Lytechinus pictus: one gene and its partners. The main gene of each other region encodes a partner of the protein of the gene in region 2 in a complex. Links are inferred from orthologs where the notes say so. Each region holds a gene or a part of one and is shown on either strand. Other genes may lie near its edges. The genes, in order: eukaryotic translation initiation factor 3 subunit M-like, eukaryotic translation initiation factor 3 subunit G-like, eukaryotic translation initiation factor 3 subunit C-like and eukaryotic translation initiation factor 3 subunit I-like.

Region 1 (7,165 bases), on a different chromosome or scaffold from region 2:
CGTCAATCTTGAAGGAGGTAGATCAACCAAGAAGAGTATATAAACAAACAAGTGGAATGCCTCTGGCCGTCTCACCTGCATCACGCGATTCAATATAGCAGCAGTGCTGATTTTGAAAACTACTATAACTCGCACAAGATGTTCAGTGATACTTGGTTACTCTTATTTCCACGTTTTATGAACTAGACCAACACACTTTCAAATTTATGGCTGTAATTCAACAAATACCCCAATTTGGCCAAAGTTCATTGACCCTAAATGACCTTTGACCTTGATCATGTGACCTGAAACTTGCACAGGATGTTCAGTAATACTTGATTACTATTATGTCCAAGTTTCATGAATCAGATCCATAAACTTTCAAAGTTATGATGGTAATTCAACAGATACCCCCAATTCGGCCAAAGTTCATTGACCCTAAATGACCTTTGACCTTGGTCATGTGACGTGAAACTCATGCAGGATGTTCAGTGATACTTGATTAACCTTATGTATAAGTTTCATGAACTAGGTCCATATACTTTCTAAGTTATTCTGTCATTTCAAAAACTTAACCTCAGGTTAAGATTTGGTGTTGACGCCGCCGCCGCCATCGGAAAAGCGGCGCCTATAGTCTCACTCTGCTATGCAGGTGAGACAATAAAACGATCTAGATGAATAAGTACTTGCTAGATCTAGAACGAGTTAGAGCCTAGGTTTAACGGGAGCAAATAAATACATGTACATGACAACTTATCTAAAAAAGAGAAGGAAAGAGAAAAGTTCAAATATGAATGGCACAAATATGAATTACGATTTCTCGCCAACCTGTCACAAAATTAAATTTTCATTTTTTTTTAAATGTATTTTTATTGCTCTTTTTCATCATTCATGTTTCATTGTTCGTTGAGTCAAAGTCACAAACAATGAACCCCATTGTTTGTGACTTTGAGTCACAAACAATGAAACATGAATAATGAAAAAAGAGCGATCAAAAGAGTTTGACTTTGTCATGATCATGCCACTTGATGGTGTTTAGCCTTGCCCTTAGCCTTAAAAATAATTGGGTGACTCAGGCCAGCAGTTAGACCGATAAAAATAGGTCTATTTTTGTCAGAGATATGCTCCGCTGAGACTTTGTCTGGCTCTGCGGCATCCCCTCCATCAATAGACCAATGACGGCCAATGGGCTTGTAGTCGTGGAGCTCCACCAAAGCCTTTACTACAGCGTCTATGGGGAAAAGGGTGCGATTTTGCACCCTCCTCATTTACTCCTAAATTTTGCTTTTTGACGGGAAAAAGGAAGAAATGATAAAGATAAATTTAATTTTGAATGCAATTAGCTTACAACCTTTCCCAAAAATATGCTGGAAAATAGCAAATTTTGATGAAAAACAGATCAGGATCAGCCAGGTTCTCCTTCGATCGCTCAATCGCCATCAGCTACAGCTGAGCGTATCGACGCACCAGCGGATTGGCTGGCACGTTCGTACGCTCAGCTGTAGCTGCGCTGACGTCGATTGAGCGATCAAAGAAGAACCTGGCTGATCCTGATCTGTTTTTCATCGAAATTTGCTTTTTTCCAGTATATTTTTGGGGGAGCTGATTGCATTAAAAAAATTTATAATTTCTTCCTTTTAGAAGTAATCAAGGAGAGTGCCAAATCGCACCCTTTTCTCCATACATGTAGACGCTGTCGGTGGAGCTCCACCACTATGAGCCCAACGCCATTGCCGTCTGTATAGGACAAAAAAAATCAGAATTCTAGAGAATCTTTTGAAAAACTCCTCTGAAACAGCAGATTTATCAAGACTAAACTCTATAAACGTTAGCCAGCAGTATGATGCTTGCCTAAATATGCATTGGACATACAGAATTAACAAAAAGTTACACCCTTTTTACACACTACATGTAGTAGTGCTACAAAATACAGGTACTGCTAAACAGTAGAGGCGCTGGTCCAAAAAATGGGATTGTCCCAGAAAACAAGGATATCCTCATAAACCAAGACAAATCATGTCTTGATAAATTGAGATTGTCCTTGTTTATGGGGACAGTTTTTCTTCACTTACCCCTGCGGGACATGGACGGCAATTGCTGGGATTGCTGAGAGTGCTAATAATAGATTCAGTGACCTGAATTCCCCCCCAGTTCACCATCAATTTTTTTCACAACTTGCCGTCTTCCAATAATCTTATTATGAAACTTGATATGCTTTACATTGACTAGCGCACTCGATTGATGTCGGCACTTGACAGGTGAATGAACTTTCCTAGATTTCTTGTGTGGATAAATCTTTGTCTGAAAACTGAGACAGTCCCTGTAAACTTAGCCAGGCGGCTTCTTGAGAGTAAAAATTATTTACTTACGTATGCTTACTCTCAATGAAGCCAGGTATTCCTTCCCATTCATCTCCACGTACCGTTGAAAAACCTGAAACTTTAGCCCCCGAGATTTCTACTTTCCTTCTAAAAGATCTAGCCCTAAATCATGTACCGGTACATGGGATAAAACTAAATAAAACTTCATTTCCGACATTTCTACGCTCTCGGTTTTATTTTTAAACAAGAATTCATCAAAAAAATTAGAAAAATATTGAGAAAAGACGGAAGAGACTTGCCCGATGTTTACGCCGCCATCTTGTTTCCTATTGTACTTCCCCAACGTTACGCGCGTGCGTCGCGTAACGTTCTTCCTTTCATTCTTTCTTTCCTTATTAACACAGGCGCAGCGCGCATAGCTAGTCGTAAAACTCGTAATAATATCTTTTACAAACACAAATTTCAATAGGTGGGAATACATAAAGAAAACATGAAATTCGGGTATCTCAAAAACAATCGTTAAATTATTTCTTCTCTTTGTCCAAAGGAAAAATGTAAGTTTACATTAATGACTTACTTGTTCTGCCTCAGGAATATTGATAAAAGCCGGTAAACTCATGATTTTGTGACTTCTTTTCTCCCGTATGCCTCAAGAATAATTAACACACGCAGCACGCGGGTAGAAATAAAATGAGTTCTCAGGTATGTCTATGGTCAGTCATGCATAAGGATATACGTACATTATAGTATCAAGAAAAGGTACCAGTCTTTTCATATGTCAACGCCCCCCCCCCCCTTCCTCTGATCTTGTGTACGACATACTCCCCCCTCCCTTTCTTCGCTTACTACATGTATGCTTCTAATATAAACTTCTAACACAAACTTCAAAATATTTGATGCATGCATCAAACCCATTCTTCTTAAATTCCGAAGTTTATAGAAAAGATCCTTCATGACCGATAGAAATTGAAAAATATATATATGACAAATTTGATGCCAGAAAATATTCAAATATATTGGTTTAAATAACAGTGCATATAATGCCGTCTTATCAGAAACTATCAATACCCAATATCATTATCAGTTATAAAATTCCACCCGGTAATTCCACACTTCAGGGAGGAATCGTTGTTTCACTTGACAAATGAGGAGAAAATTATAGAATATTTCGTATTTCATATAAAGAATTACAAAAGAAACAGAGATCGAGTGGATCACATCAAAATCATCATTATGATACCGACCAGGATATGTGAAGCAAAACTGTCACAACTTTCTTATTTTACAACCGATTTTGATGAAATTTTCAGTGTTATGCTTGTGGGATTTTCTCTTTTTATTCGAATCAACTTAATTTTTGTTGGGGTGGACTTGTCCTTTGAATACAATTAATGATGTTGAAAATCTTAACGTTTCGTTAGCACCAAAAGAAACGGTATATGCATACTGGAAAATGAAATGACATGATTTGCGATCCAAGTAGCATGGCCCAAAATTAAATCTAACACCGTGAAGCAATTACAAGTATGAATTAATTGCAGTTAATTAGAACGACATTGTAACTGGAGATTATATGTTATGAATAATAATATGCCCTGTAAATTGACAGATAATCGAGCTAGAGTCAAACAGTTTCTGACAGCATATAGCACATATTTTCTTTTTTTTGTGTGTTTTGTTTTGTTATGTTTTTTCCCCCTTTTTTGTTTTGTTTGTTTTGTGACTCCCTGCAGGACCAAAATCCAATTGAAACCAGTTGGATTTCCTACTGGTTTCAATTGGTTTTAACTGGTTTCAATTGGTTTTAACTGGAATTTAACAATTTCCAGTTGAAACCAATTGAAACCAGTTGGGCAACTGGAAATCCTAACTGGAACCAGTTGGGTAACTGGAAATGACTTCCAATTGGAAATGATTTCTAACTGGAACCAGTTGAGTAACTGGAAATCCCAACTGCAACCAGTTGGGCAACTGGAAATCCCAACTGGAACCAGTTGGGCAACTGGAAATCCTAACTGGAACCAGTCGGGTAACTGGAAATGACTTCCAACTGGAAATGATTTCTAACTGGAACCAGTTGGGAAACTGGAAATTCTAACTTGAACCATGCAGTTGTGTAACTGGAAATCCTAACTGGTACCAATTGGTTGAATTGGGTAACTGGAGATGACTTATAACTGGAAAGATGGGTAACTGGAAATGAATTCTAATTGGAACCAGTCCGGGTAATTGGAAATAAAACTGGAACCAGTTGGGTAACTGGAAATGATTTCCAATTGGTTTCCAATTGGAAATTTTCCAGTTACCCAACTGGATCCAATTGAAACCAGTTAATTTGCATATTATCTGCCAGTGTGCACAGATTAATGTTTTATGAGATTCATCATCATTAACAATGTATATATTTGATTATTTTCAATTTCAAGTACCACACTTTTTAAAGATAAGTATTTAGAATACTTAGCAGTGGAAACCATGTTCATAAATGTTATAGATTATAATTAAAACAGATCAAAGGATAATTAGTACACCACTAACTGTTACCAAATTACATCAAATAAAAAATACATATATTTGAAGATCTTCCATATAAATATATACATATGAAAGTCTCTATTTTATCAATGCCTTTTACGTTGGTATTAATAGACATATAACACTGCTTCTATGTTGGCATGAGCAATAGTTAGTGCAAATGCTAATTAATTTGTAACTAATTAAGTTCATTCCAACTGGAAGTTCCAATTGGATCCAGTTGGAAACCAATTGGTTTCAACTGGTTCCAGTTGAAACCAGTTGAAACCAGTTGCCTCCAACTGGTTTCAACTGGAACCTATTGAAACCAGTTGCCTCCAATTGGATTCAATTGGTTTTAATAGGGAAATTGGAACAACTGGAACCAATTGACACCAATTGCCAACTGGTTCCAGTTGCCCAATTGGTTTTAACTGGAACCAATTGGCAACTGGTTTTCAATTGGAACCAATTGGTTTTAACTGGAACCAATTGGCAACTGGTTTTCAATTGGAACCAGTTGTTCCAATTTCCCTATTGAAACCAGTTGGCCAACTGGTTTCAAATGGTTTTGCCCTAATTGGTTTTAACTGGATTTTGGTCCTGGGTCTGTTTATTGCCCGTTTATTGTTGAAAATTTTCATTTATCAATGTAACTTTTTGTTTGATGATTTGTAACAATTATTAATTTTCTTTGATTATAGTATCCTAATTATGTTTGGATTTGTAATAAATAACTTGAAACTTGCCTAACAGGTGGGAAATCAAGTACGAAAAATTGGCATACGGGTAAATAAGAATAAAGGATAAAAAAGAAAATAAACATGAAAAATCATGAGAAAAAGAAAGAGAGACTTATAAAAAAAATGACAACCTTTTTTTATTTTTTGCTTGTCCAATTTATCTTGGGAAAATATGTGCCCTCCGTTTGAAAAATCCTTGATCCGCCCCTGGTGCCTAAGGCATGCACGACATATCGGGCTCGATACTCCAATTAAAAAATCAATAGAATCAAATAAAACTGTAAGGTCGCCGGTCATACCCCTTCTACTAGAAGAAATTTTCCAGTGAAAAAAAATTATTCCCCCAATAATGCAGTTAAGGTGCATATATAAATTTCCTTTCTCCGATACTCGGATATAGAATGCGGCAAGCCGCAGAGTTGAATTGGAATATCAAAATATATGCAAAAAAAAAAAAAAAGTAAAATCTTGTCCGCCTGTTCCACCAAAAATGTTCTTTTGCCTCCTCAGTTGGTGCCATCACTGCAACCAATCGGGGAAGCGTGTCATGACTTGTTGGATATCCGACAAAGGTAATTCAGTTACCATATAAAATGCATGTGCATGTCGATCAGTCAATCAAAATCAAATCAGATCTATTACCGCAACAATTTGATGAAACGCTCCTCATTTTATACAGCTTCGGCCAAAGTAAATTATGTTTCATAAGGTTATGAAAAAAAATATCTTGGGTAAAATAATATAATATAATATAACATAATATAATATAACATATAATAATTCTTTTTTTTTTCTTTCCCCATTCGTTTCTCTTTCTTTCTCCCTCTTTTCCCTCTGTTTTGTTTTGTTTTTTGGCCAGCAGCCGATTGGGGGCACGTGCCACCCCCAAGGGCGGAAATCTCTCCCCAAAGGTAGGGGGACCAGGGGCTGGAAAATTTGACAAGCAAAAAAAATGTTATCACCCCAAATGTAAGGTCATAAAAAGAAATATATATATCACCCAAAAAGTAAGGTCATCTCGTTCAAAAGAAGTGTTTAATTTCGATTTTGAATGACGTATTTCTTTTCATCATAAAAGACCCAAAATAGTAGGGGACATTTGATATTATGTCCCACTACTATTTTGGGTAGGGGAAAGGACGCGTCCCCCTGTCCCCCGGATTTCCGCCCATGCCTCCCCCGTAGTTACGCCACTTATAAACACAGCATTTATTATGCGCCATCTGACGAAGTAATCGAGACACAGAAAGATAAACATTATTATTTAGATAAACTATGAGTGCTGACAAAGACAAAAAAATACAGCAAGGACTATTTGTAAGAAATCATAAAAGTATCTCACGAATCAAAATGCGAGAACGCAGGGCGAGCTGAAATTTTAATTACAGGATGACTATGTATATATATGTATATATAGAAATAGTCTGTTTCGGCATAAGGAATAAAATAATCACAAAAGGTTTAGTAAATGCCGTAGAAATAAAATCGTAGATTTTAAAAGGAGCATAGCTCTCAAAAATGAAAGGTAAAGTCACACTCTTCGTCAGTGCCCATGATGTGACATAAAAGAGAATTCAAAATCCGTTTCTGAAACAGTATATATATATA
Region 2 (7,227 bases):
ACGAAAAAGAGATGTGTATCTGGTATAACTTGACATCAGAACCATTTTTTTTTGCTAATTTCATCTTCATACCTTTCGTTGAGCTACTGACTTGGAGGCTTTCCTCTTCTCAATCTTAAATGTGCGTGTGATCTGAGAGAGAAAAAAAAAACTTCATGATTTCAAAAAAACTAAATACATATAGCCTGTTATGTAAATCACACAATGTAATTATTTCTTTTAGGGGCATGTAACACAAAGATTAGTGATTGATTATACAATTGATTCCTTTGACTGATTGCACATAATGATCAAGGTACTCAAGGGTAAAAATCAGACCTAGATCAAGCACTAGGTTTCTTGTTACTGACCACTGATTGTCATGTATTAATGAAATACAAGCACAAATTAAAATTTGTGGTTTAGAGAATTTGCCTACTTTGAACATAAATATTTCAAGGAACAAATCACTGAACTTTTGTTAGTAAATTGCAGCACTGTGCTGTTTGGTACTCTTACAGTGGCAGTGAAGTAGGATGTACTTACTGTAGATGTTAACAGTCCGACTTTGTAGGACTATTTGTCCATTTTAAAATAAATGAATATATGTTTAAAATAAATGAATATATGATAACAAAATGACTTGTATGCACAACCAAACATGAATACATGTAGGCCTACATAAGACAAGTGATTTTATAATTTGTAGATTCTTTGATAAATGTAGATAATAATCATAAATCTTGTAAATAATTGTGGGTACCTTTATCAATTTGCCATCTTCATCTCGTTTGTACTCGATCAACTTCTTGAAATCTCCTTCAAACAATTCTTCAGGAGGTGGAATACTCCCTAGTAAGATAATAGGAAAGAAAGATATTAAAAAAAAAAGATTTAGCATAGACTGTGATACACTCCTGTATCTTGCCTGATTTTTTAACCAAAAATGTGGAAAATAATGCTCAGTTGAATAAGTTCCTTTATTGATGATTGTAGCTTACTGTACAATGAATTCAATACAACTTTCAGTAGTGGTTCCGAATTCTGGCCTGGTCTAATAACTGGCCTAGTCTATTGTCCATCCAAGCTCAAATGATAGCAACCTAGTTTTTACAAATAAAATAACATAACAAACATTGACATTAAGACATAAAAGGTCACATACCCTCATCAAGGTCAGCTTTAAGTTTTGGGATTCATTCATCATTAACCATACAAGTTCAAGCTTTAGTAAGCACTAGAAAGGAAACTGAACTTTAAATTATGTGCAATAAACATCCTTTGAAGAATATTTTGCAATGATCATTATCTTTGCAAGTCCCTTTTTTTTAGGTTGGTTTCCTCTTTATAAAAAGAGGAGACGTAAGTCAAAATGACGAACTTACTCAAATCTCCTTCCTCTACTTGGTCTGCCCAGCTAATAGGTTTAGATCTGTAAAGCAAGAAGAAAAGTTTATTTTCATTTACAATAGGTCCTTGAACCGCTTTGTTATGATGTACCTTCGATTAGCGATGTTACAAAATGCCTTATTGAAGAACAATTCATAGATAAAATTATTATTTAACAAATACTAAAATTTAATACGTGATTAAAACCGTCATAACGAAGCGATTCAAGGGTCAGACTTATTGTATTTGCTTTGTTGAAGAACGAATCGAGAGATCTACACGAGTTCGGGCTGGTAAGAAACCTTCAATTTTTAACCTTCGTATTAACCAATTTTTGAAACCTTCATACGCATTAGGCGTATGAAGGTGTAAAAATAAATAAAATAAAAAACATTTACGTGATTTTTATCTTAAAAGATGGATTTCCTAGGGAAATCCATCTTTGTTTTAGTGAGTCTCTTATACATATATGGCAGGCAGTTCAAGGCTCCATGATGGAGAAGCTTTTATTATATGTCAAAATATTTAAAAAATATCATCATGGAGTCTTCAAGTTCAAGGCTACAGCTGATCTGCCCGCACGATCGCTCACGCGAGTGAAGTGCCTACTCAGACAGACAGTAGAGGCGCACGGCCAATATGGGAGACTCTCTCCAATAGGGGAGACAATCTCCCGCAATGGAGACTTGCTTTGCAAAAGGACAAAAGAAACAACACCAACAAAAGCATGATTTTTTCTACCCAAAATTTTGTCTCACTGAGGTCAGAAGCCCATTTGTTTTGAGTGTGATTGAAAACAAAAATCCTTATCGAAACAAAAGTAGACGGTGAATTTTTAAAGTAGACGGTGAAAAGGGGTAATTTTTCATGAGGAATCTGCTTATCACATTTTTATTTGCCGCCAAGGTAATCCTTTTGCAGCAAATGTAAACAAAGGAAATTGGTCTCCAAAACTGGAGACTGTCTCTGAAATTTGATACCCAAATTCTTTACAAAAGTCTCTGATATTGGAGATAATCTCCCACATTGGAGACAGTCTCCAATATTGGCCGTGCGCCTCTCTACTGACAGAGCACTCCTCAATTTTTAAATCTAATCAAAAGATTAAAAAAATAACCATTTATGATTTAAAATAGGCCTAGATCTAAAATGATATTCTGAATTGTCTGCTTATGTTCCATTAATTGCCTAATCACTAAATTGAACACACACTCAGTCACACTCATCGCAATGCAAGGAACACTGTCTTGCATATCAGATTTTCTGTGCTGTATAGGCGTAGCTGGTGAATTAACTCGGGTGATATTCCAATACGTTTATCAAGAAAACGTGATATCACCTATTCAATTGCGTGTAAAAGATATCTCACACGCTAGGCCGTGGCGCATGCCTCTTGAGGAGGGGAAAGTCGACAAAGATGGTGATAAAAAGAATCTTTATCATGATAAATTTTTCAATTTTCTGAGATTATAATACTTATTAAAATAAAAATAAAAAAATAAACATTTAAATAATATTCTGGTTAATGCTTACGTATCGGCCGAGGGCATATTTGAAGACTGTTTCTAGGCCAACTTTCGTAAAAGTGAACAGCTGCTATGACACACATGCGTGACTTGCGTAAGTACACGTATTCGGCGCGCGTACAAAATGAATGGGACAGCTGCACCAAAGCTGCACAGTAGATGGCGCTATATCAAAACCCGATTCGGGATCAAAGGGGGGGGGGCGGAGGGCAGTGGCGTAACAGGCAGGGGGGTTTCACCTGGAAAATAAGGGGGGGAACGGGGAAAAGAGAAATTGATTGATTGATTTTATTTGGCAAGTCACAATAACATGGACGAATCGTAGTCCTGTTAACTACCACGAATGGAAAGTCAATTCGTAAAACCATCCACTGTAAACAAGACTTGGAGAATCTGTAACCTGAGAGAAAAATCAATGCTGTTGCATTCCCCCGTGCATTCCAGTCTAGTTTGTTGGTTTATTGGTTTATATCAATCGATTTATTATCTGACTCTTAAAGATAAATAAAAGTTAGTGACTGAAATAGTATATTACCTTTTGTCAATTATTTCTCAAGTGTTTGTGTTTTGTGTAGATTTTATGTTGTCCTGTGCGTCTTGTTAACGATGTCGAATGATGTAATAATAGAATCAAGTTTGAATAAAGATGAAACCATCAATAACTCATCTGCAAATTTAAACGATACTTACCTTCTTCCATTTGCAGAAATTGATGACTCGGAATTTGAATCCTTATTCTGTTTAACAAGAGAGTCCGTCGATACAGATAATATAGACGGACAATCTGTGGAAAATGGTCAGGACGAATATACCGACTCCACCAATGCGAAGTATTACTTGACCTCTGAATTTAATGAAATTATCAAAAACTCTGTAACAAAAAATTTTAGCATGATCCATTTCAATCCCGGGGGGGCCACTTCCATTGACGAGTGGATACCATGCGCGACCACGGGGTCTTGAAAAGCACCCTAAACACGTATTTTCCATATTCTGAAAATGCACCCCTTAACAAGTATTGGCGTGTGAAACCCTACCCTTAACAAGTATTGGAAACAAATACTATTGGCAAGTATTCCCAGAACTGAGCCCCTAAACAAGTACAGCGATGTATTTTCCATATTCTGAAAATGCACCCCTTAACAAGAATTGGAAACAAAACGATACTCTTAGCAAGTATTCCCTGAAATGAACCCCTTAACAAGTACAGAGGTATTTTATTGTTATGTCACGCGTCCGTCGGTCGTCGGTTTTACCTTTAGACACCATTATTTTGGTTTAGTACGGCCCCACCTTCCACACCTCGCGCAAATCGGACTCTAAACACGTAGTGTTGGGGCAAAAAGGACATCCTTTATAAAACATTTTGACTTTGTTTTATCATCCCCGCACATTTGACCCTAAACACGTATATTTTTCCTAGCGAAATAGATACCCTTTTTTCAATATTTTTGTGTTTTTGACACCCTTATCACGTTACGTACGTAACGTGCCCTATCTTGAAAAAGACATCCTTTTTACGTGTTTTTTTGGTCGCGCATGGTATCCACTCGTCAATGTAAGTGGCCCCCCCGGGATTTCAATGCAAGGAGTTTATTTCAAAATTTTGATTATATACACAGTTTTCTCTCAAATATCAGATTTAGATTTTCAGTGATTGGGATAACGGAAACGTGGATCAACTCAAACTCTGATGTCCCCTTTTCAATTGAAGGTTATAAGTTCCTACATGTTGACCGATTAAATGGCCGCGGTGGTGGAGTTGGTCTATTTATTCGAGAGGATATGAATTACAAACTGTGTGATTTTTCTGAGCACTGTGAAGGTGTCGATGTTTTAAGTATTGAAATAGAGTGCAAATCAGAGAAGAATATTGTGATTGGGATCATTTATCGTCAACCGAAATCGAGCATTTCTGCATTTACTTTATATTTTGATAGACTGATGAATCATAGTTACATAAATAATAAACGTGTCTTCTTTATGGGCGACTTTAACATCGATTTGTTTAAAAAATCTGGAAGCCCTCTTATTCTTCATTTTTTTAACCAAGTGATTTCATCGGGGTTTTATCCCATTATAGACAGACCTACACGAGCTAATAGTAGATCATCTACTATTATTGACAATATATTCACAAATGTTTTTAGTAGTTCCCCTCTGTCGGGTGCCTTTTTAACAGATATTTCCGACCATTTTCCGATCTTCCATTTGTCACATTTGTCAGATATTGTAACATATGAACAACGAAAAGTACACACCTACAGGAAGATATCCCCTGACAGCATTAATCATTTTTGTGCTGATCTTTCAACCGTGGACTGGTCAGATGTATACCTACAAAGCCACCCGGAGAGGGCGTATGACTCATTTTATAATAACTTTATTACATTGTATAACAAACATCTGCCAATCAGCACAAAGTATATTGGTAAACATCATCGGAATAGAAAGCCATGGATTACCCTCGATGTGATGAAGCTTATAAGAAAGAAAAACAAATGTTATAAATTGTATCTTAACTCTCCTACCAAAGTTAATCACGATAAATATAAAAAAGATTCGTAATATTGTTACCCTGAATCTCCGCCGGTTGAAAAGAAAATACTATTTTGACAAGTTTGAATCCATGAAAACAAATTCTAATAAAACATGGAAACTTATCAATAACATTTTGGGAAAACAGAAAAATAATTTTGATAAACATATGTCTTTTTTACATAATGATTGTAACATTAGTGATAGTAGTGAAATTGCTGAAAATTTTAACGAATATTTTGTCAATATCGGATCGAGTATAAACAATGATCCTAAGGAAGATAATTCTAATTCGTTTGATATTTATATGAATGACCCACTCTCTCATACTATGTTTTTTAAACCGATTACAAAAAAAGAAATATTAGATATCGGTAAATCGCTTAAACCTAATAAGAGTAGCGGATTTGATGACATTGATCCATCTGTTGTGAAGACTGTTTTACCCTTTATTATAGACCCACTTTTACATATCTTTAATTCCTCTCTTGCAACTGGAATTGTGCCTTCAAAACTGAAAATATCAAAAGTTGTTCCCGTTTTTAAGAAGGAGAATCCTAATTTATTTGTCAACTACCGTCCAATATCAATTTTGCCGTGTTTCTCAAAAATCTTGGAGAAATTAGTTTTTAACAGACTGTACAATTTTTTATCACGTCATAATGTATTATATGATAGTCAATACGGCTTCCGTCAAAATTACTCCACTGAAATGGCAGTTATTGAAATTCATGATAGAATAATTAGTGAGCTCAATGCCGGTAAAGAAGTTATAGGAATTTTTATGGATCTTTCCAAGGCTTTTGATTCTCTTTCTCATGATATTTTACTTAATAAGTTGCAATATTATTGTATAAGAGGGGTGTCTTTTAATTGGTTCAAGTCATATTTATTGCATAGGAAACAATTTACTGTCTATGATAATACCCATTCGTCTTTCATGGAAATAAAAACAGGTGTGCCCCCAAGGTTCTATTCTTGGGCCTTTATTATTTTTAATATATATTAATGACATTGTTAACTCTTGCCATGAACCACATTTTATATTGTATGCCGATGATACGTCACTTCTTGCCTCCCATGATAATATCACTACTTTAGTTGAAATTGTAAATATAAATCTTGCCCAAATTTCTGCCTGGTTTAAGTTCAATAGACTTTCCTTAAATACAAACAAAACTCATTGTGTTTTATTTAATAAAAAGAGGGGTGTGCAATATAATCAAACTGACATATTTCTCCATGTGGATACAACTCAATTGCAATTTTATAATTCTGTGAAGTTTTTAGGAGTGATTTTAAGCAATAATTTATGTTGGAATGATCATATAAGTTCTATCTCTGTCAAAATAGCACGTTTTATTGGAATCTTAAATCGTCTAAAATGTAATGTACCTAGTTATATATTATTTACTCTTTACAATGCTTATATTCTGTCCCGTCTTTCATATTGCAATTCAATTTGGGGTAACACTTATTCTAGCCATATACAAAAATTAATTATTCTACAAAAAAAGGCAATACGTATATGTAAGAAGACAGATTATAATGCCCCGACTTCTTTGCTATTTAAATCATTACGTACAGCTAAACTTCCAGATATTACCAAAATTCAAATTGCTTCAATTATGCAACGATACCACACAAAAAGTCTTTCACCTTATTTAATGAATATGTTCTCAATTAATGCAAACATTCACAATTACTTTACTAGAGCATTTAACAAATTCCACAGATGGACCTTTTCAAATGATAAATCTAAATATTCAATACGACATACTGGCCCCACACTATG
Region 3 (6,927 bases), on a different chromosome or scaffold from region 2:
TTTATCTAAAAACAGCGCATAAATTTCTTTGTGGACATGATAACGTATCGAGATGAAAGATAGTCTGAAAATTCTCAAACCTTTTCTTAATGTTAACTTCCTTGGAAAATAAAATTTACAAGAGGTAGTGGCTATTCAATTGTAACTTAATGAAGCATGCGATTTTTCTCAGTCAACAATAAATTCTAGCTGTATCCAGCAAAAACTTCTTTGACAAAAGAAGGCATTCGGATCCAAGAGATATTACAGAGTTGGATTTGATGACTTTTCGGCAATAGATCTCATTTGAGATGATGGATCATTTCAAAGAAAATATGCCTGGGAGAGCAGCCACATGTATTTTAAGCACTGTAGTGCACAAGCATAAGCGTCAGAGGCGCATGGGAAATTATGCATCATGTCAATAATGCACTAAATGTTTTTACAGAAGAGATGCTTCTATTGGTTGACCTAAGCAGATAAGATCACTGTCAAATTCTCATCGCTTCACTTTGGCAATGCTTGGCTTCAGACTTCATGGTAGTTTTGATATGGACTGAAGTTAGCGACCAAAATATCTGTCTGCCAGCAGCTCACCCATTGTTTGCCGCATGTTCACATATTGGTCGCTAACTGCAGTCCATATCAAAATTACGGAAAATCCAAGGAAAATGATGTCTGAGAATTTGAACGGAGACCTCCCAATTAAAGTCGAAATACAGCTGTTCCCGATATGCAATATTCGGAAAAGCAGTGGGCGTAATCGCATATTGACCATGTTGACCTTAAAATATGATACCTGGGAAATCCCTTGGAATTGGGCATAAAGTTATACAAAAAATTATTTGCCTCTCGGTGTCTACAGACCAGCAATAGTCACTTACGGTGTGTTTATGCTTCCATTGCGAGGACAGAATCAGCGTTTTCAAACGTCGATTCAAAACGCCGATTGTAAACGTGGTTCTGGGAGTGCTGTTTATGCTTAACTTTTCAGAGGCGAAATCACGATCTCCAGCTGTCCTATATAGGGTCTGCTGATATTTTATTTTATTTCCAAAACCACTTGCCCGATCGGGCAATTGACTTAGGGAAATGCTTGCAAGCACATCATTTCCACTTGCCCCGGGCAAGCGGGTTTGTCGCGCCCTGTATAAAGTCTCTGGAATGGCGCGCACAGGTCAAAGACCCGACCCTGGGGGGCCAGTCAAATGTATTGCTGTACACACGCGTGGCCAAATTATTTGCAAACACCCCCTAAACGAGTTTTTCTCTGTGTGCAAAATATCCCCCTAAAACACAGTGGCAAATTGTATAGAACGGATAGCGGTGCGTTTAACGCTAGCGGGCGTGTACATGTTGCTTATTACATGACGTCATCCAGCCACTGCCGAGAGCCAATTTATGAATGAAAATATAGTAAGCATGCGCACTGCAAGCCTTCCATTGCCCCACACAGTATTCCACCAAAACAAGTGTGCAATTCTCTATCATACCAAAATCGACCTAGAATTTCACTTTCCTATATTTTATATGAATTATGAAAGGTATTCTTGGAGGAACTATTTTATCACTGATACCGCACAGGTAAGCGAATTTCGATTAATTCTTGATTTTCCGTCAAAATCTTACGAATTAGCGTCGATATGGCATCGTGTTCGTTGAAGTTTGTAGAGTCTATCTCAATGTGTACAAAGTCAAATGATCTCCGGGTTTCGGAGCGTCGCGTGAATATGCATGAAATTGCCGAGTCTCGATAATTTTTGATCGATACTGGAGCGATCTAATCACGAACCAAGACCATTTCCCGCGTAGACAATGTGACCGGATATCGTTAGCACTATTGATACTTTCGCACGCAGTCCGAAGGGATTATTTTGGTGACCACGTAGTCATGACGTGATCTGCGCGATTGGCCAATCAGCAGTCTCCGACTCGCTGAGCCGAGACGGTCTATCCATTGTACACAGTCTATGGACAATTTGCCACTGTGTAAACAAGTTTTTCGCGGGATTTCTTTACAAATTTTGGCCCCCAAACCAAACAAGTTGTTGCCAGAATATGACCCCGGGAAAAAAAAACATACCCTAGACATGTTTGGCTAGTATTTTAGTAATTAAAAAAAAGAGCTTTGGAAAAAAAAATACCCTAAAAGGTTAAATTATTAATGTTTGACCCTGCGATTAACCATTGACCAGTCTTTCAAAACTACCCCTTTTTCTGAAAATATGTGTTTTTAATACCCTTAACGAGTGCACGCGCGGCCCGCGTCCAAAACTGAAAAACACCCCTTTATTTGCGTTTATTGGGTCACGCATGTCTACCGGCGTAGTCTACGGCAATACATTTGACAGCCATCTTTTGGAGACCAGCCGAGGTTTGACTTGCCTTTGAGCCAGTTTGTAAAATTAAAAATAACTGATGAATTGATTGAGAGACTTGCTATTTTCGAAGTTACTGGTGGGGAAATTCTCTCGAAGTCGGCTGATGCGAAACTGCATTAGCGCCTAAATGGCGACCCTAAGGTCCATCATGCACAAATCGCCCGTTTTCGGCACGTGCGATTTCTTACGTGCACAAGTGAACGGGAACTATCACACTCTCGTGATAGATGTGAACAGTTTGAACATGAACAATATCGCAATTTACGCTGTTGTGCCAGGTATCTTCGCAATGAATGGGCGCATGATCGACAGAACGAAAAGGTCTGCGACATAGCTCCTCTTTGCAGGATTTATAATGAACGACACATAAGTTTTAAAACTATCACACATGATATTCAAAGATAACTAGTCAACATTTTTCACATTCATTCAACAAATGCAGTGCTTAATGCGAATTTGGTTCAACAATGTGCAATATGTTAACTTTCTTACCTAACCTGCGTGAGCAATCTCGGAATCATAATCCGCCATATATGAAGGCGCGCGCGAACGCTCGCGGTCGCTCGCGCTCGCGCTCGCATCTAGCTAGCATAGCTATACGCTAGCCATCGCATTCTAGGAAGTGGGCTACACGTGCACAATGTGAAATGCATGGGCGAAAAGTTGTGACTCGGCCAAAATAAACTCAGCACTCATAGGTGCTCTGAAGTTTTATCTTTTAAATGCCATTAATTTTTTTTAGTTTCGTTCATGCTTGAGCAAACACGAAATGTTTTTGTCTGGGGTTAAAAAGGAGGCTTGCGCCAAAATTGCATAAAATGATAAATATGACGATCGGACTTCTTGCTAATCAGCAGACTTCATTTTAATCTTTTCATTATCTTTGCCATAACTTTCAAATTATGAATTGTTTTGTTGTTGTTTCTTTTTAATATGTTCTCTTTTAGAGTTGAATATTCCTTCGATCTTCAAGCAAAAACAATTTTTTTTTCAACCGAAGTATGGGAGAGCGTGTATTTTTTTCAAATCCTTTCATTGTGTGCTACAAAGGTTATGGTGCCTTTTGAACAGTGCCACTTTTTTATGGGCGGGGGCTCGGGGATGCTCCCCCCCCCCCCCTCAATTAAAAAAAAATCATGACCAAGAAAAAAGTGGAAAGGAAATAAAAGGAAAGACAGAAAGTAAAATATGATATCATTTTCTGAATATTATGTCAAAATCTATATCACAAAATTTGATATTGTAATAAAAAAGTGGGAATATTTGCGTGCTCGCTTCGCTCGCTTACAACTTTTTAATTTTTACCCGATCTGCCATATCTAGCTCCTTCAAAATTGACTCAACACACCATTGCTATTGAAAGACATGAATCCCTTCCTGTTTGTCCTGTCAAGCATATAATTAAACTTGGTCAAACGGGAATCAATAAACCCTTGAAAAATTGATTCATGTCTTTAAAGGTACCATATACATAATTTGTTTCACATAATAAAAGGATTTGAATAATTATACAAGTTTTCCCAATTAATAATGCAAATTTTCTTGCTTGGGTTGACAAAAAGTCTTCTTTTCTTACTTATGAAGGAAAATTCAAAGGTAAAAGAAGTTTAAATGAAAAAAAAAATAATAATTCAAGTAAATAAATAAATTTGTAAATAAAATTTGACAGCATAATTTTAAAATTATGGCACAGATAATGAAAAGGTTAGAGGAAGTCTGCTGATTAGCAAGAAGTCTGATCATCATATTACTCATATTCTGCCATTCTGGCGCAAGCCTCTTTTTGAACCCCCGACAAAAACGTCCCGTGTTTGCCCGAGCATAAACATTATTTTTTTTATTTTTTTATTGAATTTCAAAGATAAGATTTCAGAGCATTATTAACATCAAAATATAGATATCATAATTTGAAACAAATTATTTATAGACTGTTCAAAACTGTCCCTTTTTATACGCACTGTATTGGCGGAGAAAAAAAGAAAGAAAACAGAGGAAAGAAAGAAAGGGAAAAAAGAAGGGGAGAGAGACGAAAATAAAAGAAGAGGGAAAAGAGAGGATGAAGAAGATGAGTTAATAAACATATTGTGATCGAGGGGAATGATTTTTCAAATCTTTTTTTTTTGCATTACATAAAATTTTCGCTCACGCTTCGGGTTCGCATTGCATGTTCAATGAGATTATCTTGCTCAGAAGGCTTAAAATATCAAGTTTTGAAGTCAATATACAAGTTTCAGCTCGGACATCGAGCCCATTTTATCAATCTCGCGATAACCCATGCATCCTATTCATAATCACAAAACATAATGTCCAGTTTTCATGCCTCAGCACATTTCGCGCTCTCATTATATAGGCTTATTAGCCTAGATAAAATATTAACATTTTCATTAAAAAATGATGAATTTTTACTGTACTGTCCCTTTTTTTTTAGAAAGGAAAGTATCGACAAGTTTTATCTCGCGCTTAAAGGAAGTCTTCTATAAGTTTCGTAGTCACAAAACATGCACGTTATGCACAACTCCGTGACTTGCAAATGAGAGTCAATTAATGATGTCCCTCACTCACGATTTCTTTTGTTTTTTATGGTTTAAATACAATATTTCAATTTTTACAGATTCGACAATATGGATCCTGACTTGACTTAACCATAAACTGTTAAAATACTGGCAATTCCACGTGTTCAGGGAGGAATAAAAGTTTTGTTTCACTGACAATGGGGAGAAAATTAGATTTTTTTTTCATGTTTCCGAAAAAAAAATATAAAAGAAATAGTGAGTGGGTGACATCATCACTCTGCTCATTTGCATACCAACCCCGGATACCGACCAGGATAGCTGCTTTGTGAAATTATTTGATTGTCGAAAAAAAATTGTCTTCATGGCTATCTGAAAACAGTATAGCAGGTCCCTTTTCGATCATGCAGGCCGGAACGTAGATTAAAAATTTCTGCTCGCGCATGGGCCCTCGAAGTAATTATCTAGTTACATTATTTTATACGCATCTTGTTCAGGATGACAAACATGCCCATAAAAATGTTGAATTATCAGGATAAAATACATGAAATTTACAAAAATTCGCGCTTGCACAAATATAGCTAAGAAGTGACTGTTGGGGGCTTGGGGCTACCCCTTCAAAGAAACAAACAAAAATCAACTTTGAGCTTGGCCGCCTTTATGACGTCCCTCCAAATCCATGCACGCTCGGGCCTATATATTAGGCCTAATATGATTATAGGTGGGGTTATAACAGGTCCCTGGGAACGATTTTTTGACTGGGGTGCTGAACATCTCTCCTCAAAGGTGGGGGAGGGGGTCACAATTGAGTTTTCCATTGTTCTTACACACGCACACACCCACATACATATATATATATATATATATATATATATATATACTTCTTATAGCTTTATTCATTAAAACATAACATATATATATAATTAAATAGTGCGAGTGCGAAGCGCTGGCTAAGATTTTTGGAAATTATATGTATTTTATCATGAAAATTAAACATTTTGAGCAATATGTTTCTGATCCTGAAAAAGATGCGTATGTATTAAATAATTACTGCGAGCGCGAAGCGCGAGAAATTTTTAATATCCGCTCTGGGACTGTTTGCAGTTACCCATGAATACAATACATATTTCAACAATCAAATAATGCGAGCGCGAAGCGCGAGCTAAGATTTTTTGAAGTTTCATTTATTTTGTCCTCAATATTGAACATTTTGAGCAATGTTTGTGATCCTGAACAAAAGGGGCATGTTAAGGACTATTTGCAGTTTCCAATGAAGACGATACATATTTCCACAATCAAATAATAAGTGCACAGTTGTTTTTTTCCAATAAATCCGAATATTTTATTTTTAACTGAAAAATGAAGAATCTCACTGGTTTTGGTCCTAATCCAGTCCTCTAACTTTTTCCAAATGTGATTAACATGCCCGCACTCCGAGTACAGATGCAAAACTGTTTCGATTTCTTTTCGACAGAAGGTATACATTTTGTTTACTGAAACTAATTTCGATTTGAAAAGCAAATACTTTGTAAATAATATATAATACGTTGCACAACTTTATATTGAAACCAACGCAATGTTACATCTTCCTACATTAATAATTTGAGCGCGAAGTGCGAGCAGAAATTTTTAGATATTCTGATCTCAAACTGGATTTTTATGCACGTTTTAAATAAAGGGCAAGTCGAAATCTCAATAAACATGCGCGCGTGTTTAGATTTAGATTCTAAATAGGCCTACATTATTTTGTTTATGAAAATCAATAAGGCGAGCGCGAAGCGCGAGCTGAAAATATTTGATATTTCGATCTGGAAAAGGGTGAATTCATGCACTATTTCAAGCACTGTGTAGGAAAATTCTGAATTGGATATGAATCGGATGAATGACACGAGCGCGAAGCGAGAGCTAATAATTTTTTATCATTATTTTGACCTAGGACCAGGCATTGTAAGGATATTTGTCATCATATGAAAATAATGACTATCTTTCTATTCCTCTTTCTAAGAGCAAGATGAACCTTGACGGTATTCCATTCTAAAAAAGGGACAAATTATTGA
Region 4 (7,396 bases), on a different chromosome or scaffold from region 2:
GTAAACCCAAAACAGACTTGGAAAACCTTAAAGTCCATTATTCCGAATAAAAAACGTGAAAATCTCACAGTTTCGTCTAATTCGGATTGTAATACTGAAACTGCTAACCTATTCAACACTTACTTTGCAAATGTAGGGAGACAATTAGCCAGTGAAATACCCGATATGAACCTCCATACAGAAGATGGTAATTATACAAATGAGACTTTTGCATTCACTCAGGTGAACGAACATGATGTTTTGAAAATCATAAGAAATCTTAAAAACACTAAGTCTGTCGGTGTTGATAAGATATCTGTCTTTGTCTTGAAGGCATGCTCTATGGAGATATCAATGAGTATTGCTAAGTTGATTAATTTATCTTTGTCAAGCGGTATATTTCCGCAACAATGGAAACAAGCTAAGATTATCCCAATTCACAAAGGTGGCGATAAAAATTCTCCTTCGAATTATAGGCCCATCTCAATTTTGCCCTGCGTATCTAAAATACTGGAAAGGGTTGTCCAACGGCAAGTTTTAGATTTTTTGCGAAATAATGATATTCTGACACCTGCCCAATCCGGTTTTCGGCCAAGGCACTCAACCATTACCACTCTCCTAAAGGTAACCAATGACTGGTTTCACTCAATCGATCTTAAACATTACATTGGGGCCGTCTTCGTCGATTTAAAAAAAGCATTCGACACCGTGAATTGTGATATTCTTTTGAAAAAAATGAATAACTTAGGTATTTCTGGCACACCATCCTTATGGTTTCGAAGTTACATGTTAAACCGGGTTTGTAGGACTCTTATCAATTCGGAACTCTCTTATGAATCAGTTATTAACTGCCATGTGCCCCAGGGATCACTCCTGGGGCCACTGCTCTTTATATTATATGTCAATGATCTAGTGAAATGTATTAATACATGTCATATCCAATTGTATGCGGATGACACCGTTTTGTATTTTTCACACCCCTCCATAGATAGAATCAACGAGGCCCTAAACTCAGATTTAGAAAATATGTACCAATGGATGTGCCAGAATAAGTTAAGTGTTAACTGTCAAAAAACGGTCTGTATGCTCATCGGAAGCAAGAATATGATTTCTAAACAAAATGTCCTTCATGTTTCCTTAAATAATACCCCATTAGAACAAGTTCATCATGTCAAATACCTAGGCATCATAGTTGATGATTATTTGAATTTTAACTTGCATATAGACAACATGTTGCAAAAAATAGGTCAATTAGTCGGCTTTCTGGGAAGATTGCGGCGATCCTTAAGTGAATCGATCCTGAAATTAATATATAGTTCATTGATCCTCCCCTACTTTGATTATGGTGATGTTGTTTACGATGCATCCTTTAGGAAATACACAGACCGCCTTCAAAAACTGCAAAACAGAGCAGGTCGTATTATACTCCAAATTAAACCCGAATCTCATATATCTATTTTGGAAATGCATGATACACTAAATTGGCAATTGTTGGACAAAAGAAGAAACGATCATTCCCTTATTCTCATGTATAAGATCATGAAAAATCTATCTCCAAAATATTTAAGAAATGAATTTGAGTTAGTATCACATACGTATCCCTCCCGTTTCGGAACCAAATTTAAATTACCAAAACCAAGAACAAATTACCTCAAAAGATCCTTCAAGTATAAAAGCGCCATGGCTTATAATTCCCTTCCTCTTCACATCAAATCATCCCCTAGTATTAATATTTTCAAATCTAAGATTGTTGATCTGTAGCACATGGACTCCGGTACCCCCCCCCCCATTCCCTGTTAGGTTTGCGCCCCTTAATTTTTTTTTTTTTTTTTTTTTTTTTTTTCTTATTAATGTTTACTGTTGATATTTACATTTTCATTTTTCTTCTGTACATCTGTTATTCTAATGTGGTTTATTTGTGTCTAAATTATACGTTAATGTTAAATGTTATGGACCCCACGGAAGACCAGCGCTACTGTGCCAGTCACGCTGAATGTGGGCTATCCACCGTATTTTATTGTATATAATTGTGCTTTTAATACGGAAATAAATACTACTACTACTATACATAAGCGGTTCAAGGGTCGACCCTATTGTATTTGCGTTGTGTACATGTGGATCGAGGGATCTACACGAGATCGGTCTGGTAAGAAACCTTTTTCTAACATTTTAATTGACCATTTTTTTAAACCTTCCTACGCATTAGGCGTAGGAAGGTGTAGAGATTAATAAAATCACAACAATTTACGTGATTTTTATATTAAAAGATGGATTTCCCTAGGAAATCCATCTTTGTTTACATGTCTCTTATACATATATGAACTGGGGTTCAAGACTCCAATCCAATGATGAAGAAGTAGGCCTATAATATGTCAAAGTATTTAAAAAAGACATCATCATGGAGTCCTCAAGACTACCCCCCCCCCCCCCCCACTCTGGTCTTGGCATTGCCATTGCCGGTATTCTGTACGATGAGAATTTAATCCATTTCTCTAGAGTCTAGCTCCGATTTAACTTTCGTAATGATAAACTTCACGCATGATAAAGATTTAGCAGTGCAGCGCAGAGGCACGACGTCAATCGTCACATGAGCTATCGATAATGCAATCGGTATCGTTCTTTTGAACCCAGCTTCATTGGTGTTGCAGCTCGGTCAGTGGCCTTTTTACACTCTCATCTCAACACCAACACACAAACACAGGCAACACCGATGACCGAACTAGAAATCACACATTCACAAAATGACAGTCACGTCAGTCACAATGCATTGAATTGACGTGCGTTCCCACGTATCTATTTCTGTGTCATGAGCTTTTTTACTACTTTTTAACAGTCCTTTAATTCATAGTTAAGTTTAATATTTTTCTCAAAAAATCATACATAGAATACTACGTAATATGAACATTCATACTTTACCATTTTAAAAAATTATATCAGTGACGAATTAGAGAATCAGTACAATCTTTCACGAAATTATGATACCAGCCGGTAGAATTTTGCAACACATGCGCGGGATCTAAATTAGTCTACGATCAGACGTTGTCAATTTTCAATGATAAAAAAGGGGTTTCCGACATTGTATGGCATGCACAAAGAGATGTATACTAATTACGCTATTAGTTATTAGTATATCTATGGGCATGCATGGGAAGCGTGTGCGGAGGGGACCGGAGGGGAGGTGGGGAGAGGAGGACTGAAGCACCCCTCCCCAATTTTTTGGTTGGTATTCTATCATTAAAATCATTCGGCTTTGTTTACCAAATTAATACATGTGCGATAGTCGCATACCCGGGTAGCATATTCCTACATAATGGTTTGACAAAAAAAACGCCTTCATTCGGGACTGAATAATTTCAGCTTATTATTATCTTCTTCTTTTTTTTGCCTGCTTGCCATTATTTTTTTAATCTGGAATGAAGGCCTTTGCTATTATTTTGTTTCTTTGCTTATTTTGGGGGGAGGATTTTTAATTGTTTGTTTTTGGGGGGTTTGTGATTTTTTTTTAATCACCGACCTGCAATATTTTGGAAGTGGAGACTATTTTTTTGTGTGGGGTGGGCTTGTCAAATTTTTGTTAAACAAAAAAAAACAGTATATACCCCCTCTTAGAAAATCGTTCCCGCGATCTACATATTATGCGTTGCACTGTCAGCTAATAAGCAATCCTTGCTGGTAACGGTACGTGGCAGATCTATGATCGAGGGTACACGGCACATATGCCACCCTCCCCCCTGAAAATCTTCAAAAAAGGGGGAGAGGTATAGTGGGGACATTAACCAGGACGGGAAAAAGAGATCAGAAAAAAAGGAAGGGAGCTGAGGGAAAAGAAAGGGAAGTGAAAGAAGAGAAATGGGAGCTCTAGGAAAGAAAGGTTAAAGGGGATGCAGCACCCCAGGTATTCTTGAAGATGTGTAAAAATGGGGGGGGGGGATGTAACGAAATAATGCTTCTGAACGCAGGCTTAATTAGCCTCACATCTCCATATTCTGCCTCCTCCATGGCCCTGGGAACGGGGGAGCGTTTCATGAAAGGACTTGTCAGACGTTTTATCCGACAAGTCCTATTTTATCCGACAGTTACCATAGTAACATTGCTTATCAGCCAATCAAAATCAAGGAAAGATGTCAGATCTGACAACATGCATGTCGGACAAAAATGTTGATGAAACGCTCCCCTGGGGTGCTGCCTGCACCCCCAAGATTTTCCTTGGGGCAGGGAGGCACTTTCCCCAAAAATTCCCAGTAGGAAAAATGCCCTTTTTTTAAATGGAAAGTATACCCTTTTTTAATGATATATGTGCCCTTTTACAGAATAATTTTTTTTTTTAAGGTTAAACAATACATTTTAGGCCTTAGAAAATTACAATTTGTTTGGCTCGCGCTTCACGCTCGCATCGATTATTGTTTAGTAAGGTACTCATCCTGTTATAGTTGCAAAAGTGCTGTAATAAAATGTCCAGTTTTTAGGTTGGAATATCACAAATTTTCAGCTCGCACTTCATTCTCGCATCAATCATTATTTGGTAAAGTACTCATTAGGCCTATGTTCTTGGTTACAAAAAGTGCTTATCCAGTTTTCAGGTTGGAATATCACAAATTTACAGCTAGCGCTTCGCGCTCGCGTCATTTGATTGATGAGATATAAAATCATCTTCATCAGTCACTATAATGCAATCCTTACCAGTGTCTTTTTCTGGTCAGTATAAAAATTTCAGCTCGCGCGAATTTTCTAGTTAGATACACATTTTTTTCATGATAACAAAAACTGCTCGGTATGTTTAATTTTCAGGATATTTGTCCAAAAGTTTGAGCATGGCGATTCGCGCTCGCAACATCTCGCAAGGATGCACTTTTAACAGCTAATAATTTGCGCGATAATTGACCAAAAGGCGAGTTTCACAGCAGCTTTTAGAATGGAAAAATTTTCCAAACCGCTCGCTCGCTGAAAAACAAAGCCTAAATATATTTCATCTATCAGAAATCACTTCAAAAAGGCTTTGCTCAACTTAATACAAAACACAAAACTTCTTAACGCAGATGATAATCTCATGTTAAAAATATTCGTTTGCAACCAAATACCCATTTTGATATATAAGTGCCCTTTTTTTTCTTTGCCCCCCCCCCCCCCCCCAACAAAAATGCGTCCGCTGCGCCTGTTTGGGGTGCTGCATGTATTATTTTACAGTGAAACAGCACCTCCTGAAATTCTGGAAGGAGTGAGAAAAAAATTGGATAAATATAACCCGATCGAGGGGCCTTTATTTGGTATACCGGTAGTGAACCCCCCCCCTCCTTTTCAAATTTGTAGGGACCAATAATGACTTCCATTTTGTATTGATAACTCTTGTTTATTCTTTTTTATTTTTTGGGACCAATAATATCACTTCCATTTTGTAGTGAAAACCTTTTTTTTTGCTCTTCAAATTTACATCAGCACCCCAATTTAAAAAATCGCTCCCAGGGCCCTGGGGAGCGTTTCATCAATATTTTCATCCGACAAGTTGTCAGATCTGACATCTTTCCTTGATTCTGATTGGCTGAGAGGTACTGTTACTATGGTAACTGTCGGCAGGTCTGACTGTCGGATAAAATGGGACTTGTCGGATAAAACGTCCGACAAGTCCTTTCATGAAACGCCCCCCTGATCTCCTCTTTAGGTTGGCTGGATCATCATGGGTCAGCTCCAAACTTATTTCATTATTATTATCATAATCATCATCATGAAGCTACTGTCGCACATCTGTTAACAATCAGTGAAAGCAATCAAATAATATTTTTGTTTGTGACAGTTCATTTTGCACAATTTTATTTTTGCACGGTCTATGTTCGAAATGAGAATAAAGCGTAAATTGCAAGGTGAATCAGAACAAAATTTCATGAGTGTGCATTTTCGGCCTTTTCACTACTTGAAAATCAGACTGTCATAGGGATTCTTGACTCTTAAAGGGATGGTCCAGGCTGGAGGTATTTTTATCCCAATAAAAAGAGTAAAATTCACAAAGCAAAATGCTGAAAATTTGACCACTTGTTCTTTTTATTTTATTATATGAAATAAGGTTTATTTTAAAAGAAATTCTACCAAGAAATAAAACAATTGGATTGACAACGGATTATAAGTGCATTAGTTATTCATCGCCGCAACTTATTTCATCATAATGGAGACACATCATTTACACATGTATAAAAAAATGAAACATTTATGATTTCATGTAATAACATTATAAAAATGAATGTGGGGATGCCATCATCAGCCCACCTAATGAATATTCATGATAGTGTGCATATAACTGTTTTCACAAAATGTTGATAAACTTCACTTTTTTTTATTTGATATCCGATTTTGATGAAGTTTTCAGCATTTTGCTCTGTGAATTTTACTCTATTTATTTAGATATAAATATTTTCAGCCCGGACCATCCCTTTAATAAAATGTCAAAATAATTTGTGTTGATGATTATGTGTCCAACCGACAAAAATGGTCAAAATCAACCATAAGTTAGAATTTACCAGAATTTTGGTTGATATTGACTATTTTTATCGGTCGAACATAACCTGTGACGGTTACTGCATCATTTTGAAAAACAACAATCTTTGACCTGCCTGATCCATCTGAATTTCAGAAACTTATGCATTTATCCACTCACTCCACCTTTAGCAATGAAAAAGGAGAAAAGAAGAGCCACGTACAATGCCCAGAAGGGCTCTGATTCCATTTGAGATGATCTTGTTTTCCAAACAGTTTATATTATCAATAATATCATTCAGTTGAAGAGTTTATCATGGACCTATACAACGGTCCAAGAGTTTATTAACCATTGTGGTTAATAAACTCTTGAAGAGCGACCACGCCCATCTTTCATCTTTGTCCCCCTGGCCTAGCTACCGATCGTACGATTTTTATACTGTACTCTTTGGCCAACCCGGCCCACGCTCCTCGAGCCAGGCCCGCTCTGCCAAGCCACGCCGCTCGCGTCGCGTCGAGCTCGCGCCAGCCGCCGCGCTCGAACAACATTCAGCCAGTTCAAACACTTCGATGCAATCATGGCGGACGCTAGCGGAGACCAAGCGACAAGGCTTTACTATCCAAACCAAGAACTGCAGAAAAATGCACACGTGAAGTCGATCGAAGAGTACAAGAAACTCTATGACCAATCCATAAATGAACCTGAGGTGTTTTGGAGTAAGATAGCTGAGCAATTTTACTTCAAAACTCCGCCGACCGAAGGCAAGCTCTTAGAGTATAATTTTAACGTGAACAACGGGCCGGTGTACATCAAGTGGTTCCAGGGTGCAACTACTAATGTCTGCTACAATGTTCTCGACCGACATGTGGAGAATGGTCTTGGTGATCGCATTGCATTCTATTGGTAAGATATAAAAGATAGGGAAAGGTGACATGAAATACCCTTTTCACTGAA

Evidence for each region.
Region 1: eukaryotic translation initiation factor 3 subunit G-like (region 2) and eukaryotic translation initiation factor 3 subunit M-like share a complex: the UniProt entries of both Drosophila melanogaster proteins name them as parts of the eukaryotic translation initiation factor 3 (eIF-3) complex. The link is inferred for Lytechinus pictus from reciprocal best matches to the Drosophila melanogaster genes eIF3g2 and eIF3m.
Region 3: eukaryotic translation initiation factor 3 subunit G-like (region 2) and eukaryotic translation initiation factor 3 subunit C-like share a complex: the UniProt entries of both Drosophila melanogaster proteins name them as parts of the eukaryotic translation initiation factor 3 (eIF-3) complex. The link is inferred for Lytechinus pictus from reciprocal best matches to the Drosophila melanogaster genes eIF3g2 and eIF3c.
Region 4: eukaryotic translation initiation factor 3 subunit G-like (region 2) and eukaryotic translation initiation factor 3 subunit I-like share a complex: the UniProt entries of both Drosophila melanogaster proteins name them as parts of the eukaryotic translation initiation factor 3 (eIF-3) complex. The link is inferred for Lytechinus pictus from reciprocal best matches to the Drosophila melanogaster genes eIF3g2 and eIF3i.

Annotation. Positions count from the first base shown.
Region 1 is NC_087253.1:1,908,172-1,915,336, reverse strand, and holds the start of eukaryotic translation initiation factor 3 subunit M-like, read right to left. Parts: upstream 3,020-7,165; 5' UTR 2,920-3,019; coding exon 2,878-2,919; intron 1-2,877. UniProt on the Drosophila melanogaster protein: Component of the eukaryotic translation initiation factor 3 (eIF-3) complex, which is involved in protein synthesis of a specialized repertoire of mRNAs and, together with other initiation factors, stimulates binding of mRNA and methionyl-tRNAi to the 40S ribosome.
Region 2 is NC_087259.1:30,430,700-30,437,926, forward strand, and holds the start of eukaryotic translation initiation factor 3 subunit G-like, read right to left. Parts: upstream 3,022-7,227; 5' UTR 2,919-3,021; coding exon 2,902-2,918; intron 1,412-2,901; coding exon 1,365-1,411; intron 832-1,364; coding exon 743-831; intron 133-742; coding exon 73-132; intron 1-72. UniProt on the Drosophila melanogaster protein: RNA-binding component of the eukaryotic translation initiation factor 3 (eIF-3) complex, which is involved in protein synthesis of a specialized repertoire of mRNAs and, together with other initiation factors, stimulates binding of mRNA and methionyl-tRNAi to the 40S ribosome.
Region 3 is NC_087246.1:16,951,521-16,958,447, reverse strand, and holds the start of eukaryotic translation initiation factor 3 subunit C-like, read right to left. Parts: upstream 3,012-6,927; 5' UTR 2,853-3,011; intron 1-2,852. UniProt on the Drosophila melanogaster protein: Component of the eukaryotic translation initiation factor 3 (eIF-3) complex, which is involved in protein synthesis of a specialized repertoire of mRNAs and, together with other initiation factors, stimulates binding of mRNA and methionyl-tRNAi to the 40S ribosome.
Region 4 is NC_087261.1:4,539,476-4,546,871, reverse strand, and holds the start of eukaryotic translation initiation factor 3 subunit I-like, read right to left. Parts: upstream 3,014-7,396; 5' UTR 2,899-3,013; coding exon 2,896-2,898; intron 1-2,895. UniProt on the Drosophila melanogaster protein: Component of the eukaryotic translation initiation factor 3 (eIF-3) complex, which is involved in protein synthesis of a specialized repertoire of mRNAs and, together with other initiation factors, stimulates binding of mRNA and methionyl-tRNAi to the 40S ribosome.